2 linked regions of the Drosophila melanogaster genome follow. The protein of the gene in region 2 interacts with the protein of the main gene of each other region in a pairwise test. Each region holds a gene or a part of one and is shown on either strand. Other genes may lie near its edges. The genes, in order: Surf4 and CG13245.

What was found.
Region 1: the proteins of CG13245 (region 2) and Surf4 interact in a two-hybrid assay, tested with the Drosophila melanogaster proteins (one large-scale study listed by BioGRID).

The regions. Positions count from the first base shown.
Region 1 is NT_033777.3:15,342,843-15,347,809, forward strand, and holds Surf4 (surfeit 4), read right to left. Parts: upstream 3,335-4,967; 5' UTR 3,118-3,334; coding exon 3,067-3,117; intron 2,311-3,066; coding exon 2,047-2,310; intron 1,982-2,046; coding exon 1,571-1,981; intron 1,509-1,570; coding exon 1,422-1,508; 3' UTR 811-1,421; downstream 1-810. Other genes in the region: CG31301 (uncharacterized protein), read left to right, coding at 3,463-3,841, 3,952-4,310, 4,367-4,563, 4,622-4,783, 4,848-4,967. UniProt on the Drosophila melanogaster protein: Endoplasmic reticulum cargo receptor that mediates the export of lipoproteins by recruiting cargos into COPII vesicles to facilitate their secretion.
Region 2 is NT_033779.5:16,002,207-16,006,063, reverse strand, and holds CG13245 (uncharacterized protein), read right to left. Parts: upstream 1,740-3,857; 5' UTR 1,371-1,739; coding exon of another isoform or gene 1,209-1,370; 5' UTR 1,049-1,208; intron 977-1,048; 5' UTR 955-976; coding exon 712-954; 3' UTR 603-711; downstream 1-602. Other genes in the region: CG31820 (uncharacterized protein), read left to right, coding at 1-158; CG43816 (uncharacterized protein), read right to left, coding at 1,209-1,370; CG34167 (uncharacterized protein), read left to right, coding at 2,620-3,003.

The sequences.
Region 1 (4,967 bases), on a different chromosome or scaffold from region 2:
AATATTATTGGATCAGATGTTGCAGATTTGATTTACTATACCACGCCCACACATCGAAACACTCATTAGATTTTGATTAGAAGCGGCGGCACATAGCTATAACATTTACGACGACCAACTCTTACCCGGCGGAGCTCAATCCGTCCACGTTCCGAACGCTTTGAACAACAAATGCGTTGTGTTTGGCCATATACTCACTTCGGGGCTCAGCGACTCTTTGATATTTTTATACCCGGTAATTGCCCAATACACGGGTATATTGTACACGCAACTGTGTTTGTCGCCAGCTGCAGAAAACACTTCCGCCCCTATAAGTTACTTGTGTGCATTGTGTATTGCAATTGATTTGAACTGATTGCAACAATTTTTGGAAATTAATCAAATGTACTCATCCCTATTTTCAGATTTGATTTCAAGTTTTTAAAAAAAAGTGAGGCCGTTGACATTTCACTGCCTTGTTGGAGAGGTCAGGGCTTTTCAATATATTGTTTTATATTTAGTTAATTCACTAACATTACCATTCAAAACGGTGCCTAATCATTTTTTTTATCATTATATTTTGTGTCTATTTACAAAATTTAATCGTACTACTTGTATAAGGTTTATGCTCTTATTTTTGCAATAAAGTTATTTATTGTTAGTTATGCAGGATTCACTAGCAGCTAACTTAGTACGGGGTACCCAGTAGTCGAAGAATGGGCATTTCCCTCTTTGTTGACGTTGCGAGTCAGCTGTGCCTTAGTGCTGGTAAACAAACAAAAGCATTAACCATTTATCGGCCAATTGGCGCCAAGTTTAAAATGCACAAGTCTCGGTTTTTCATCTTTATGTTTATTAAAACGTTACAATTTAATTCTATTACACTTTTGCTTATAAACGAAAGAAACAAATCATTGTCAATTGGTACATCATATTTTATACATCGTTTTCATATTCAAACTTCTAGCAATCAACAAAAGGCAAACACCAAGGTTACAACTTATTTATAAGAGTGTACAAATCATATAAAAAAATCGGCAAAAAACATGGATATTGACAAGCATAGATATAAAATCAGTTATGTCTCTCATTTGGGGTGGGCTCGAAAGTGACCAAACTTTTTTCTTGCCTGTTCTTTATGTACAAAAATAAAATGTCCTAAATGTTTAAAATGTCGAAGTTTGTCGTTGAATGTGCGCGAATGGATTTGGAGTTGGGTTGGGGCGATCCCAATAAGTGAGCCATTGGAGAGGGGTATTGCGGAAGTCCCTTTATTGAAAATTGTCAAGTTCTTATACGTGCCGGTGTTGTGCTGCTGATGCTGCTCCTGTTGTTGTCCCATTTTATGGTAATTCCTAACTAACATTTCTCAGAAGGAGTAAAACACGGTAAAAGTCAAATGTTGAAAGTGTTTCGTTCAAGGAGCGACCGTTGCCTGGCCTCTACCACTTCTTCTTGTGCTCGTCCATGGAAACGCCGCCAGGGCCCAAGGACACGATCATGAGGAGGCCACCGATCACCGAGAGAGTCTGCGAAGGGAATGCGTAAAAATAACACAAATTCGTGCGAAAGATATTGTAAACCTGCTAACCTGGAAAAAGTCGTATTTCAAGAAATCCCTGAGTGGCTTGTAGGACGGAATGGTCCACCAGGCATTGTGGTACAGGTTCAGGATCGTAAGCAGAGCCACCAGAATCAGGGCGGACAGCTTCGTCTTGTATCCCAGCACGACCAGCACCATCAGAATGGAGCCGATGATGTCCTGTATAACTTGCCATACGCTCAGCTCAAAGCGGATCAAAGTGATGAACATGAAGGCCAGCAGGATGCGGCCCGCCAGCTGCATGAAGTTCTTGGGCTTGTTTTCGCCCATCGATGGCACGCCGGCAAACAGGCTGCGCCCCTCTATCCTGGCTTCCGCCAGGACGAGCAGTAGGGCTCCGATGAGTGCAAAGTTTCGCAGTAAGAACTGGAAGTCCCACAGAATGGAGTAGGCAACGGTCTGCAAACAGAGGATCGGGTTAACGTCAAGGCTTTTGCTTCTGGCTGATATAAATGCAGACTCACCTGCAACACCACAATGAAGAAAAGCAGTCCCACCGCTATGTCGACCTTAAATCTGGCCATCACCATGCCGCAGCCGCCCAGTTGGCCCAACAGGTTGACGAGCACAAAGACGGTGGCCAGGAACTTGCCGCAGCCCCAGCTCATGTCCATGTACTCCCGCTGCTCGTTCCATTGGATGTACATGCGCAGGCCGTCCTCGAAGAACGTGGCGATGAGGCACAAACGGGCCACTGTGGGCAGCACATTTTTGCCGCGCTTGATGACCTGCAAAAATGAGTGTTCGATTGGTTCTGGTTGAGTTGAGAGCAATTGGGATGGGTGCTGATATGGTGATAAGGGGACTACTGACAAGGTGATAAGGGATTTAAATATACAATGCCGTTGAGCGTGGCTTGCGCGTAGTCGCTAGAAATCGCCCGCTGGCTGTGACGTGTCTCTAAACGCTAGTATCTCTCGATTGCTATCTGCCAGCTAACGGGTTTTGGCCCGGCTGTCAATGTAACTTCATACATGTATGTATGTAAATCGCGAGCAAGTTCACCTGGCTTTCTAGCCCAACTATTACGGAACTCGACCTGGCCGCTGGCGTCCAGCTGCCCGCTATTTCTTTTTCAACACTTTCACTTGCGGAGACAGCTCTCTCGCACACACACACAGACACATACGCATCAGCACACAGGTAGAAAATAAGCAGCGAGAGAGAGAGTTTTCCCTGCGGCAGACGCAACAACTGTCAATTGCGGTACTGGAGTACAAGGCAAACCCATCATCTGGGTTGCACCCAGATTCTTATTGGAAGCAAATGCCCAGCACGTTGCCCCCATGTCAGCGGATCGTGATTATATGCAGCCAAGACCCTCGAACTTTGCCGCGTTTGGGTGACGTTGGCAGTTTTCCCAGTTTGCAGCTGCCAGGGCTTCCCCGCAAACGCCATTTGGGGCGCATCGGGAAGACGCTTCCTGCGGTGGATATGGAGTCCTGGTGGACTTCTTTTTGGCAGTGGAACCTAATATATCTTACCTGTTCCGCCACATCCTCCGTTTTCGCTATGTACTCGTTGGGTATGCTCATGTTGGCTGCTTTGGGCTGATCCGATCTCTCACTTTGGGGCAATCGTCTGTGGAGACACTTTGGCAATTCGTTTCTGACTTCTTGGGCGTCGCGTCGCTCTCCAAATTGTTGTTAAGTTACCAAAAAATCATGAATTAAAAGGCAGGAACTTAAAAACACACACGCACGACAAAGTATAGCCGTGATGGGGCCTATCGTTATCGCTGCGTTATCGATAGCCAATGGGCAACACATGGCCAATCGAATTGATAATTCGCTGTGAATGGGAAAGCAGCAATCAAAAAACAAGCGTGCCTGTGCTCATTTTATTTGACAAGTTGAACGCTATTTATTTTCCCTGTAAAGATGTCCGTTCAACAATCCAAGCCAAAGCAGAAGAAAGTCAAAGTTAAAAAACAGGATGATGCCGGCTATGGATCCGGGGAATTTTCCTTGGACTGGGATGTAGACAGCTACAAGACGGAATACGAAAGTGATGAGCACTGGGATCTGCGACGCAGCTTCATGCTGGCCCACAAGGATCGTTTTGAGGAGGACCGGCTGGTGTGCCTGGCCCAAACGTTCGTCAACATGGAGTTCATGGGCTGCAAGTATCCAAGCGCGACGATGCTTTTGGTGGCCGAGTTGTCCAAGGAAATCGCAGCGGATTTCCGTCAGAAACGGGAACAGCGCCTGAAGAGAACATTTGTCTCGGCGTCGGATGCGGCGGAGCAGCGCGCCAAAGGTAGACGACTGAACAATTAGTGGGCCCATAGGCGAGAGAAGATTCTTTTTATCACTAGTAACTATACGAGCCAGAGAGACCAAAGCCTAATGCCTAATTCCAACTACTAGGGCGCCGGGCTCCACCCCTTCCCTCGACGAGCTCCCCAGAGGATAGCTCACACATAAAACGCCAGTGTTTTGGCGGCGGAGATCCAGTCGATCTCTATCAAGATCTGCGTTTCGGTCGGCTCATTGTGTACTTGGCTGGGGGACGAGCCTGCCTGCAAAACTCCTGCAACATTGCGAATGTCAAGTACGAAGAGCGTGTCAGCCGAGATCAGCCATTAAGCGATAATACAAAATACGCCGAATTATTAGTAAATGATGAGGTAATAGCGACAGGACAGGGGGAGAGCCTTAAGGCGGCCAAGAAAGCTGCCTATAAGCAGGCGCATTTGACGATCCAGTCCTATTGCTATAGTATTAAGGTATGAAATTTCTGAAATAATGTATGCCTTATTAAACCCGGTACTACGCTACACAGCTGAATGCCACGCGCGACACCATCAAGGTGGAAAAAAACAAGGACGGCGTCAACATCAAAGTCACCAATGAGTCCGCCGACAGTCCGTGCGATCCCAAATTGGACCCCAGCAACAAGGGATATCGCATGATGCGACTGATGGGCTGGACAGGCGGTGGCTTAGGGCGACTGAAGCAGGGACGTGAAGAGCCCGTATGGTAAGAGTTCGACTTTTAACGTATCACCAAACGAAACTATTTTATTTTATATTTTCAGTTATCTGCTAAAGAACAATCGTAATGGTCTTGGATTAATAAATCCAAAGGGAAATTTCGCTGATTACCGACGGCTTATAGAAAACTATGTGAGATCGGACGATATACGTGACATGCAGTTTGAGCCCACGTTTTCGAAGGAAGAAAGAACCACGCTTCACCAGTAAGCACCGTCATCCCACATCGTAAAAAATAATTGCTTATTATGTTGGCATTTCCCTTTACAGAATCGCCAGACAATTTGGCTTGCGTTCCGCTAGCTATGGGAGTGGAGAGAGCCGGCGCCTTTTGATTACCAAGAAGATCGACTATGGCACAATACTGACTGAGGTCCTGCTTCGGCGGAA
Region 2 (3,857 bases):
CCTATGCCCTGGCTTATGGCCCCGTCGGACCCGCTCTGCCAGCCATGAACTATAATAACTGCTGCTGTGGACCCAATCCTCCCTGTGGTCCCTGGACATGTCCTCCTAACAGGTGCTGTTGTGCCGGCGAATGGGGTTGCTTTGGGCCTTTTTACTGAGAAACCCAAGGTACGACAATTCCTGAAGAAAACGACGTGAAATTTTTTTGTGCTTTTGGTTTGAACCACATTTTCACTTACACAATGGTTCGAGCTTTTCAATAAATTAATGTACTTAAACAAGTAACTTCTTATTTACTATTTGTCAAATTTCTTGAGAAATTTCATATTCCATTGATACGTATATGAAAAATAAGAAAATATACCAAAATCCTAGATAGCACAATCTTACTAGGATTGAGTATCCTAAGTATACCATGAGGTATAATTCTTTCTCTAATGGTTCTTGAAATTGTATGGCTCAAATTTAATATTCCTTTAAAAAAAAATATACTAAAATTGTCGACAGTTTTACCAGGACCAGGATACCGATAGGAAAAATATGAAAATAATTAGGCGCGACAGCGTAGGTACAAGATCTCTAACTAAGGAACAAACTTACTTAGTCAGTATTAGTCCCTCAAATTTTTATTGGTTTCCCATGGAAATGGCTGGTACAAGAAGATCTACACTGATAATTTTAGTAGTATAAGACCGCATTTCCTCCTGGCGTTTATTCGTCTTCCTTTTTTTTCTGAGTACTCGCCAGTGTGCAGAGCTGCGCATCCAGTGGAGACAGGATGTGCGGAACATAGCAGTTGTTGGTGTTCTTCTTGCGGCTAGTATCTAGAACATAACACTTATCGCAAGGACCGCAGGGCGTGGGTATAAAGTCCCGACCGGTGAAACGCAGTGTTGACAAGGGAGGATTATTGCAGGCCAGGTCAAAGGAGGCACAAGCCCAGCCACCACACATGGTTAGGAAACGGATGTGGGAACTATATGGAAATGTGAATGATTAAAAATAAAATTTTTAAATAAAATTTTATAAAAGCATAAATGAAACTTACCCCGGTGAACGTTTAAGGTTGTTGTTCCGACAAGGACTGGACTGGGACTGAATGATATTTGTTTCATGGCTGACAGCCAACAGTTCCCAAGGCCTACTTCAAGATAGTTGAATTCCGGACTCTCCACCCAACTCTGTGGCTACTCCAGGTCAGAGATCACCTAGCACCCGCAGCAGCCACCGCAGCAACCGCCGTAAATGGAACAGTCATCACATGGACCGCAGGGCGTGGGTGCGAAACAGCGGCCAGAGAATCGCAGTGTCGACAGGCGGGGATTGCAGCAGGCGATATTGTAGGAGGCACAGGCCCAGCCACCACACATCTTGACTTGGTTTAGGTTTTCCGAAACGTGTGCTCTTTTTACTATTGTTTTTTTTTTTTTTGGGTGGGGTGTATAGTTATTGGCCCTGGAGCAGACACAAAATCGAGTGTTTGGTGCCGAAGTGGAAAAGGAACTGAAGTGGATTGGGTTTCCCAGGGAGCAAAGGCGATTTTTCGCTCTGACAGCTATTGACAATCTCATCGACGCCGCCCTCGGGTTAGACTACGCTTTGGATATCTGGCCTAAAATGAAAGCTGGCTAAATCGGAACGAGAGAGTGGATGGCACCCTGATGCTGAAGTGAACTACATTTTGGAAGCCCTTAGCCGGGATCTTCAATCATATATACCATATTATGGCATGTTGTGGGAATATATAAATTAAATTACTCTATTGGTGTTCTCTGTGACACAACCAATCAAGTAAGCGTTACAAAATAAAGTACGAGATTGCATACTGTTCAGAACAACTTCATAATTCTATTACTTCTACCACGAGTTTTAACTCGGACCGTTGGCGATGCAAATTTCTATCCGCCGAATAACGAACCGTGATGAAAGTTTTTGCCACTCCGGTCCATGATACTTCAATCCAACTCCTATTCATCCAGGCGGAGACAATCAATTACAATATCTCCCGACGGACCAGAGGCCATGTAAGAGGGTGTCTGCATGTGAGGATCTAGTAGACAAACCCACGCATGGTCAACTGTGCAAATGTAACTGAGAGGACATGGGTTCGACGAAGCGTGGTGGTTCTGGTTGGATATTCCTAGCGACCATACGTCGGTTTTAAATGGTACCGCAAGGCAGGATGTGTAATTGAGATGTAATTTTAATTGCAATGTTTTGGTGACAAAAATAGAGTGATGGAATAAAAGTACTTTTATAGACTTTTATAGGAAGAAAAATCGTTAAGTTACCATATAAATTGCAAATTATACATGGAATTACTTAGTCTCCAATATATGTTTATTCGATACGATTCTAATTTAAAATGTTTTCAACCGCATGTATCCTTGCCTTTGGTGTCACTTTTCCAGTAAATACTTGAGGAAACTGCAAGAGTTTTTATTCGACAGGAATTATAAAATTTTCCCAGTGGACTTGTGACTATTGGCGGACAAAAAAGGTGCTAAATAGGCGCCTGGAGCTGTGAGCTGACTGTCCATCACTGCCCCGGAGTATTTAGCATTTTTTTTAGCGGCAAGTACTTAGCAACAGGTTGCAAAGGGCTAAGTAATTTCTAGGATGAGTTGTGCTGCACCGCGATGCCGACCGCAGTTTGGATCCTGTGGGTCTGGTTGTAAGCCCTGCGGCGGAGGTGGCTGCTGTGGATCCTGCTGTGTTGGTGGTTCCTGTTGCAGGGGCGGTACAGGAGGATGCTGCGGCGGATCCTGCGGCGGATCATGTGGCGGTTCATGTGGTGGATCCAGTGGCGGATGCTGTGGCCCACCGCCCTGTGCCGTGGTCTCGTACCGCTTGACCTACGGCCCCGTGGGTCCCCTGCTGCCCTGCATGAAATGCACCTGCAACTGCGGATGTTGCAGCGGCGGTTGTGCGCCACCTTTCTATTTTGTGCCGAACAAATGCAAAAATTGCTGGGAATGGGGCTGCTTTGGCCCGCTGTACTAATACCCTGTAGTACCCTGTTGTTGCACTTTTTATTGGAACTTTTCATATTTTTGAATGCAATAAATTCACGTGTCAGCCAGACTTGCATATTTGCGCCCATTTTTGTTGCCTTTCTGACAGGCTAACAAATGACCGGGGTCCAGTTTCAGGGTTGCCAAAGTTTGCGCCATGAAAATCATTTAACATTCGAACTTTTGTTAGCTAGCCCGCAAAAAACGAATGAAATGGGCAGGCAAAAGTTTCCATTCGAGAGACTAGCAAAACAATGGAAAAATGGTCAAAATCTGAAAGCTGCTTGTTTTGGTTTTGCATACGAAGCGAATGCAGGGGAAAAACAAAATATTCGTTCGAAAACCTTCCAATCTATTTGGTTACACGACGTACTTATGTAGGTCATGGATCTGACAGTTTTTGTTCAGCTATTCGGTTGTATTTTTTAGCCACGCTTGAATAGCGAAGACAGGTCAATTGAACGAACTTTTTGACAACGGTTCCAGTCACCAAAATATTTTCGTTTAAAAACTGCCACAGTTGAAAACAAATTGACGCGCTCCTAGCCATAAATTTCTTTTTTAATTAAACCTCAATGTAATTTGGTTCACAAACCAATACATTAGTTTTGATAAGGAAGCTCAAAAACAAAAACGCAAATGGTCTGATAAAAATTTTCAATTAGCATGATATTTCTTAGTCTAGTTATTGGCTACAGACCACTTTTCAATGGGAATAAATAATTTTTTCCAATATATTTACACGCAATATTTTAGAAACTTCAACTCCAAGCCGTGCCTTTTGTGCGCCTGCAAAATTTTCTTCATAATTCTAACTGATGGCCTTTTTTCAGTGGCGTAGGT